Linked DNA regions of Rattus norvegicus. The protein of the gene in region 2 purifies or fractionates together with the protein of the main gene of each other region. This does not show direct contact. Links are inferred from orthologs where the notes say so. Each region holds a gene or a part of one and is shown on either strand. Other genes may lie near its edges.

Evidence for each region.
Region 1: the proteins of Zcchc10 (region 2) and Neurl4 purify together in Homo sapiens (co-immunoprecipitation; 3 studies listed by BioGRID and IntAct, with this or other methods). This does not show direct contact. The link is inferred for Rattus norvegicus from reciprocal best matches to the Homo sapiens genes ZCCHC10 and NEURL4.

The regions. Positions count from the first base shown.
Region 1 is NC_086028.1:55,122,743-55,127,247, forward strand, and holds the start of Neurl4 (neuralized-like protein 4), read left to right. Parts: upstream 1-1,581; 5' UTR 1,582-1,617; coding exon 1,618-1,905; intron 1,906-2,722; coding exon 2,723-3,167; intron 3,168-3,370; coding exon 3,371-3,436; intron 3,437-3,580; coding exon 3,581-3,879; intron 3,880-4,046; coding exon 4,047-4,158; intron 4,159-4,247; coding exon 4,248-4,336; intron 4,337-4,505. Other genes in the region: Ppp1r2l1 (protein phosphatase inhibitor 2-like), read right to left, coding at 5-450. UniProt on the Homo sapiens protein: Promotes CCP110 ubiquitination and proteasome-dependent degradation. By counteracting accumulation of CP110, maintains normal centriolar homeostasis and preventing formation of ectopic microtubular organizing centers.
Region 2 is NC_086028.1:37,977,916-37,981,720, reverse strand, and holds part of Zcchc10 (zinc finger CCHC domain-containing protein 10), read right to left. Parts: intron 2,453-3,805; coding exon 2,408-2,452; intron 788-2,407; coding exon 511-787; 3' UTR 1-510.

The DNA.
Region 1 (4,505 bases), about 17 Mb from region 2:
TTACTTTTCTGAATTGGAGGGTTTCTTTATCAAAATGGAGCTGCTGTTTTTTAGGATGCTCCGAGGCCGTTCCGTGAAAGATGACCCGGAGTGTGTACTACTCTCCGAGCTGTACACTTTAGGCTCCTCCGGCCCAGGGGTGGATGCCTTAGTTGCACCAGTTCCAGTGGCAGGGGATGTGCTGGACCCAAGGCTTGCAACCTCCCGGAGATACGGACCGGGTCCCGAATTGAGGGTCACTGCTCCTTCAGAGGGCTGGGTTGGACCAGGACTGCGGACAGAGTTCCCGGAATGCAGGAGGGAGCCAGGACCGCGAAACGAGCCTACTCCGGAGGGTAGTCCGGTGTCTGTTTGTATACCTCTGACACCTCCAGGTACTGCCCTAGGAACCCCGCCAGGGGATTCCGTACTGAGACCACTAACAGGTGCCAGAGACTCCGGCTTCTCCATAGCTCAACTTGGTAATCACTTCAATTACTCAGCCTCGCCTTCTACACATAGCCCCTCCCGTTGGCCCTGCCCCCACCGCGGTGGGCGGTGGGCGCTGGGGGCTCCGGGTCAGACCGGACCTCCTCGCCTCCTCTCCCTGGCGCTGGTGCAGGTGAAAGCCGGACTATATAGACCTGAGCCTGGGGGCTCCTCCGCACACCCTTCTCTAATTGTTACACCCAAAGACTTTCTTTGTCTCTGTAATTTGTTCCCGCCCTTCCCCATCACTGCCCTTCTCCGAATCAACCAATCACAGTCAAGGGGCCTGGCCAGAGGCGAGGAGCCTTGTGACGTCACAGCCCCACAACACCAGCGAGAGCCTCTGAGTAGGGTTGGGTTCTGCTTATAGCTCTCAGGTAATCTCCTGGATCTCTCAGTTCTGTGCCTTGAGATTACCTATCGGGACATCTCTAGGATTTTTATTAGTAATTTTAAGATTCAAGAGTTTCATTGACTCGGAGCTCAAATTGGTCTTGAACTACGTGCGGGTTCCCCCACCAGTCACCTCATTATACTTCATAGGAGAGGTGTGATGAAAAGTGTGTGGAGCAGGGGGACTGCGACGAGAGGAGTAGGATTGGAACAAGGAGAGGTTGGATTGGATTGCGACATTTCCGGTCTCGGTATTGTGAAGGGCTGAGACTTGGATTTATAAAACTACCTTTTCTCTGTCCCGAAGATAGTGTTTACGTCGCCTTAAAGCGTGTAGTGTGAGGGGGAGCTACCACCCTTTGTGTTAAAGCTAATGTTTTAATGGGTCGCTTTTCCCAACAAGGGTTGGGTCCTCGGCGCGGGGCGAAGTCGTAAAGTGTATCTGGGCGCCAGCACGCCTTCGTCGCAAATACGCCTGCGGCGGGCGTTTCTTCCATTCACTGTCGCAAAAGCAGCCCCAGTCTTCTAGATTCTCTTAGCCGCTGTCGTCCCGCTGTGCCGTAAAGCAAGTCTCCCCGACCCCGTCGTCCTTCGGTTCCCCTCGTGATAGACCTTGGTTCCTTAGCTCTGGATGCTTCAGTGCCGTAAAGCATATCAGGCCCCAGCCCCCGGCCGTATTCCCCCAGGGCGTCTATCCGCCGCGGTTGCCACGGTGCCGCCAAGCGCGGCTGTCGCGCGGCCGCGGTATCAGCGGCGATGGCGGCGGGGTCGGGTGGGAGTGGGGGCTCTGGGGCAGGCCCCGGGCCAGGGCCGGGGCCAGGCGGGGGAGGGGGCCCTGGCAGCAGCGGACCAGGACTGGGGTCCAGCGGGGGTCTCGGCAGTGGCGGGGAACTGCACCCGCGCACTGGGCGCTTGGTAAGCCTGTCGGCCTGTGGGCGCACAGCGCGGCGGCAGCAGCCGGGCCAAGAGTTTAACCACGGGCTGGTGCTGAGCCGAGAACCCTTGCGCGACGGACGCGTCTTCACTGTCCGCATCGACCGCAAGGTGCAAAGCTGGGGCCGCGGAAACGAGGTGTGGAGGGCGGTGGGAGTGGACGAAAGGGAGAAGAGGTAGAACTACCAGAAAGTCTGCATCTCCAACCAAGTCTCCAGGTACCGATGGCAAGCCCTAGAAGAGAAAGGAAAAGAGCGTGGAGCAGAGACATTCATTCTGAAGGAGAATGAGTTTCCTCAGGACCCAGAAGCAGGACAGGGATACAGGGCTCAGTTATTAGGATGGCTAGTGAACAGTTCTAGCACAATCACTTAGGGATGAAAGATAGACAGGTGCCCAAGATGTAATGGGCGAGTAGAGAAATAGTAAAAATCACAAACTGTTGACAAACAAACGACGCCCAAAGCCAGAAAGATAGATGGAGACATGGGAAAAAAGAAATTGTGTGTGACTTGCTTGACTCCAAAACGAATTTGGAAAGAGAAGAGAATGAATCTGGGTGTTAGAGGATCAGGGGTGGGAATGAGAGTAAGGTAGGAGAGCGATCTATATGAACCTAAGAAGCATGTGATTGGAGTGGTAGAGGAGACACACGGACTGGGGAATGAGAGGAAGTCAGGTTAAAACCAGGGCATTTAACCAGCTTGCAGTGGGTAAAGGGTGATGTGGTGAAACACTTGGCAGCAGAACAGCACACAGATGCTGAGAGCCGGTGGGTCTGGATAGTTATGGAGGCTATGTCCAAAAAGTTATTTGTGTGTCTATGTCAATGACCTCAGAGGTCAGGGTGAGAGGGGTGCAGTGCCCTGGAATGTGGCTTCTGGTGATGGGATTCCATCCTGACACTCTGTCCACCCCCCTCTCATAGGTCAACTCCTGGAGTGGCTCCATCGAAATCGGAGTGACAGCACTGGATCCTAGTGTGCTGGACTTCCCAAGCAGTGCCACTGGGCTGAAGGGAGGGTCCTGGGTAGTGTCAGGCTGCTCAGTGCTTCGGGACGGGCGCTCTGTGTTGGAGGAATATGGCCAGGACCTGGACCAGCTTGTGGAAGGGGACCGTGTGGGTGTGGAACGCACAGCCACTGGGGAGCTCCGGCTCTGGGTGAATGGGCGGGATTGTGGTGTGGCAGCCACAGGCCTGCCTGCTCGAGTCTGGGCTGTCGTGGACCTTTATGGCAAGTGCACCCAGATCACTGTGCTGCCCCCTGAGCCAGGCTTCAGCCCTTCTACTCCTATCTCCACACCTCCCCTTGAGCCCTTGGCCCCTCCAGAAGATTCTGCCCTGTCGGAACAGGGGACTTCTGTGGATGAAGGTGAGAACACAGCTTCGGGGAAGCATGAGGTTTGACTGAAGAAATGGGGCAAAAGCAGCCACAAGTCAGCTGGGGGAGGGGAGGGGACGTTGAGCCCAGAGCCTACTGCAGGCAAATATAGAGGGTTAGAAGAGATGGTCTCCTGACTGGGCCCTGAAACATGGGCTGAACCCTTATTCCCCTCCCATCTACCTGGTCCCTAGCCTTCATGGTGTCCCCAGCGCAGGCCCGGCCGGAGACGTTTCCTAACAGCCTTGATTCGCATAATGGTGAGGGCTTCGGGGAAGCCCAGGGAAGGGGATGGGTAGTGAGGTGGACAAGGGTGGGATTTAAGAGGCCGGTAGGGAGAAGATGGTTCCAAGCTAGTTTGGGGGACAGAGCTTCATCTTGACTTCTTCTTCTTGCTGCTGTAGACTTTGCCAGCATGGAACTGTCTGAGGTGGTGAGCAACGCCATCCTGTCTGCCTACAATGGGGGCCTTCTTAATGTGAGCCTGAGCTCCCCACCAGCTGCAGACGGACTGGCATCCAGTGGGTCAGCCACCTCTCCCATCCTCACTTCCAATGATGCCCTGCTCTTTCATGAGAAGTGTGGAACCCTCATCAAACTCAGCAACAATAATAAGACGGCTGAGCGTCGGAGGCCCCTGGATGAATTCAACAATGGAGTTGTCATGACCAACCGTCCACTTCGGGATAATGAAATGTTTGAGGTATATAAAGTCCTGGAGTCTGGCCGAGCTTCCTGCCAAAGATTTGGAGCTAAATGTTGGGGATGATCCTTGATGGCAAAATGACTGACTGGTGAAGAACTAAGGGTTTGAGCATCCGTCTTCTGTTGTTATATTTCCTGGTCCTGTCTGCTCTCACCCAACCCCAGATCCGTATTGACAAGCTTGTAGACAAATGGTCTGGTTCCATCGAGATTGGTGTCACCACCCACAATCCCAACAGCTTGGAGTATCCAGCCACCATGACCAACCTGCAGTCAGGTACCGGCTATGTGGTAGGGTAGGGACAGAAGCTTTGAGTTGATAAGGTCGGGACGGCCTTTCCCTAACTGGGTACTCATCTTTACCAGGCACCATCATGATGAGTGGCTGTGGGATCCTGACCAACGGCAAGGGTACGCGCCGCGAGTACTGTGAGTTCAGTCTGGATGAGCTGCAGGTGAGTGTGGAGCATAGGAGCTTGGGCCAATCCAGGGAAGCCAGGGTGCCAGCAGTGCTCCTGTAAACAAGAACAAGTCTCTTTCTGCACGAGGCTTTTTTTTTTTTTTTTTTTTTTTTTTTTTTTTGTTCTTTTTTTTCGGAGCTGGGGACCGAACCCAGGGCCTTGC
Region 2 (3,805 bases):
GACCCATACACACCTTAACATATACCACATGAAGCATTCATTTCATAGGCGGGAGAAAAATGACTTTTGTCCATCACTGAAATAGATTTCCTGGTTTTCAGCTTTGATTATGTACTACAGATAGAGTTCAAAAATTATTTAAAAAAAATGTTAACAAAAGCTGAGCATGGTGGCGTATCTGTAGTCCCAACACTAGAGAAGCAGACAGGTAGATCTCTCTGAAATCGAGGCCAGCCTGCGCTACAGATCAAGTTCAAGGCCAGCCACGCCTACAAAATGAGACCCAGTCTTTACAAAAAGAAAAGCAACAGCAAAAACCCAATAGTCATTCCTAAAATAAACATCTTTATATATATAACATCTTTATTTAATATCCTACACAATGGTGAATACTTAGAAAGTTCTGGACTTTAACAAGTCTGACCAGCTAACTTGCTTGCTTGAGCACGTCTTCAGTTCCCCTGGGAGTCACAAATGCTTTCTGTCCATTGGTCCAGAGAAGAGAGAGCTCTATTTCTTTTTCCTCTTCTTTGGTGGCTCGTCGTCAGAGCTGCTCTCGGAACTGCTGCTGCTGCTGCTGGAGGAGCTGGAGTCTGAGTCTGAGGACGAGGAGGACGAGGAGGAGGAGGAGGACGAGGAGGAGGAATAGGCTGAGGAGGAGGAGGAGCTGGAGAGGCTTCCATCTGCGTCGCTGTCCTCTGAAGAGGACGAGGCAGATGTCTCGCTCTCTGATGAAGACTCACTGGCTGAACTGTCACTGCTAGAGGTACTCGTGACACTCTTAGGCCTATAATGTTACACAAAGAGCACACATGGGAAATGGACATTTAACTCAGTGCTTAGAAACGCTCGTGCTGAGCTCCTGCAGCTAGCCCTAGCCAGATGTCTGGGGATCGCCTAACTGCTGAAACACTTTGCAAGCTCTCTAGGAGTCCATAAGGTGTGCCCCCCATACACTGAGCATGCTGGCACAAGCCTTCCATCCCAGGAGGTAAGGCAAGAAGGTCAGAAGTTCAAGGTCACCCACAGCAACACAGTAAGGTCAAGGCAAGTCTGTCACACACACACACACCCCCGTCACCCCCCCCAACCAACCAACCAACACACACACACACACAGACACACAGACACAGACACACAGACACACAGACACACAGACACACACACACACACAAGAAACACAAGCAGGGCATGGTGGCTGTAACCCTAGCACTCAAGAAGCTTAAGTATGAGGGTCACCATGAGTTTGAGGCCTGCCTGGGCTACAAAGTGAGATCTAGTGTCCAGAAAATAAAACAAGGGCCAAAGGGAAGGCTCAGCACTCAGAGGCCTTACTATTCTGTCAGAGGCCTGTCATGGAATTTGGACCTCAGCACCCATACCTGGCAGCTCAAAAATACCAGAAATTTCAGCTATAAGGAATCCAATGTCCACTTCTGGGATCTAGAGGCACCCCTACACACACACACACACACACACACACACACACACACACACACACACTCTCTCTCTCTCTCTAAAAAAACAAAACAAAAGCAAAACCGAACAATAAAAGAACCCAAACATGCCAGGCAGATCTCTGAGTTCTCCTCGATTGCTCTACACTTTAGAGTCACTGTCATGGAACCTGGAGCTCCCTGACTCAGCTGGGCAGGGTGCTCAGTGATTCACTGGGACCCACCCATCACTACCTCCCCAGCGCCGCGGCTGCACCAACCCCTGCTGCTGCACCTATCTATTGGCTTATGTGCATGGCAAACACTTTACCAACTGGGTCATTTTTCCAGTTCCCTTTAGCAAAATCTTGTAAGATTTATTAGGTCAAGACCAGGCAGCAGTATTATTGTCAGGTGTAAGGATTTTAGAATGTTATAGGAAAAGGAAAAATGGAGCCAGTAAATTCCACGTAACAGGAAAAGATTAGAAAATACAATCACAACCAAGAATTGCAAACAGGGACTGGAGAGATAGCTCAGCAGTTAAGAGCATTGACTGCTCGTCCAGAGGTCGATTCCCAGCAACCACATGGTGGCTCACACAAGTATCTGTAATGGGATCCGATGCCCTCTTTCTGGTGTGTCTGAAGACAGTGGCAATGTTCTCGCATATATAAAATAAATAAATCTTATTTTTTTTTAAAGATTTATTTCATTTATGTGATTACACTGTTATTGTCTTCAGAGACACCAGAAGAGGGCATCAGATCTCATTACAGATGGTTGTGGGCCACCATGTGGTTGTTGGAGATTGAACTCAGGACCTCTGGAAGAGCAGTCAGTGCTCTTAACCACTGAGCCATCTCTCCAGCCCAAAATAAATAAATCTTAAAAAAAAAAAAAAAAGAATTGCAGACAAAGACTTCAGGCCAACCTTCCTCCCCCAGGTAGTGTCACCTAAAGCTACCTACCTCCTCTTCTTCTTGGTCTTTCTTTCCGTGTTGGTCTCTCCCATGCTAAGGGACAAAGGGAAACAAAAGCTCCTATTAATAAGAGTGACCACAAACTTCTCTGCTACCCTCAGGCTAGTTCTGTTCTTCATTGCATATGCTCAAGGCACAGATTTCTTGCTCTAATCAAGTAAAAAGTTTCCTCCTTCCCGGGACAGGCTATCCACAGTGGACTTCGTGCTTCCTTCAACAACACATTTTATCTCCTGTACCATCAAGGCCTGTTAGTAGTTTAGACGACAGAACACAGAGTTGTTTCTTCTTTGGTTTAGAACTTTACTTGTTGACCAAGCAAGGGCACCAACAGCACAGCAGCCATAATCCAGCTTCCTAGAATCACATGTGGCCATTTGAAAATTTCACAAAAGCAAATTTAATTTCTGTACAGTTTCCAAAATTTTAGTTGTTGTTTAAAACAAAAACAAAAACATGGAATCTCAATAATGTGAGGCTGCTCCCTGACACCACAAAGAGCATCCGAGCATGAGCTGCATCTCTGCCATCGGCATGTACACGGATCCAGCTTTCAGATTACAGAACTGCTCCTGTCACCACAACACATGGTGCGGGTTCAAGTCCAGGGCAGGCACATGCTGTGCAAGCACTCTGCACCTCATACAATTTCACTGTTTTCTTTTTCTTCTTTGAGACAAGGTCTCATGTAGCCCAGGCTAGGCCTGAACTCACCTATTCCCTGATGGATGGCGCTGGATGGAACTCAGAACCCTGTGCATGCTGGGCAAGCACTCTGCAAACGGAGCCATATCTCAGCCCACGTTCTACCTTGTACCTTAAAGGTTTTCAAAACGAGTTTCTGCTTCTTGATTAGGAAAATAGGTTGATCCTGTCACAGACACATTCACCACACAGAACCACCACAGGCCTGCAGACATGTTGTTTCACTCTAGCCAATCTCATGAGAGAATTTTAGTTCAAAGTCTGCAGTGCTGTGTATACTCCTACTTCTGCCGTACACAGAAGGCGATTCTATTAGCCGAGAGCAGGCAGTGCCTTGGGTTTTTTATTTTTACTTTTAATATTTATTCTTTTTTTTTTTTTTTTTTTGGTTTTCTTTTTTCTTTCGGAGCTGGGGACCGAACCCAGGTCCTTGTGCTTGCTAGGCAAGTGCTCTACCACTGAGCTAAATCCCCAACCCCATTTATTATATATAAGTACACTGTAGCTGTCTTCAGACACACCAGAAGAGGGCATCAGATCTCATTACAGATGGTTGTGAGCCACCATGTGGTTGCTGGGAATTGAACTCAGGACCTCTGGAAGAGCAGCTGGTGCTCTTACCTGCTGAGCCACCTCTCCAGCCCCCATTGCCTTGTTTTGTGAGAGATCACAATACAGAAA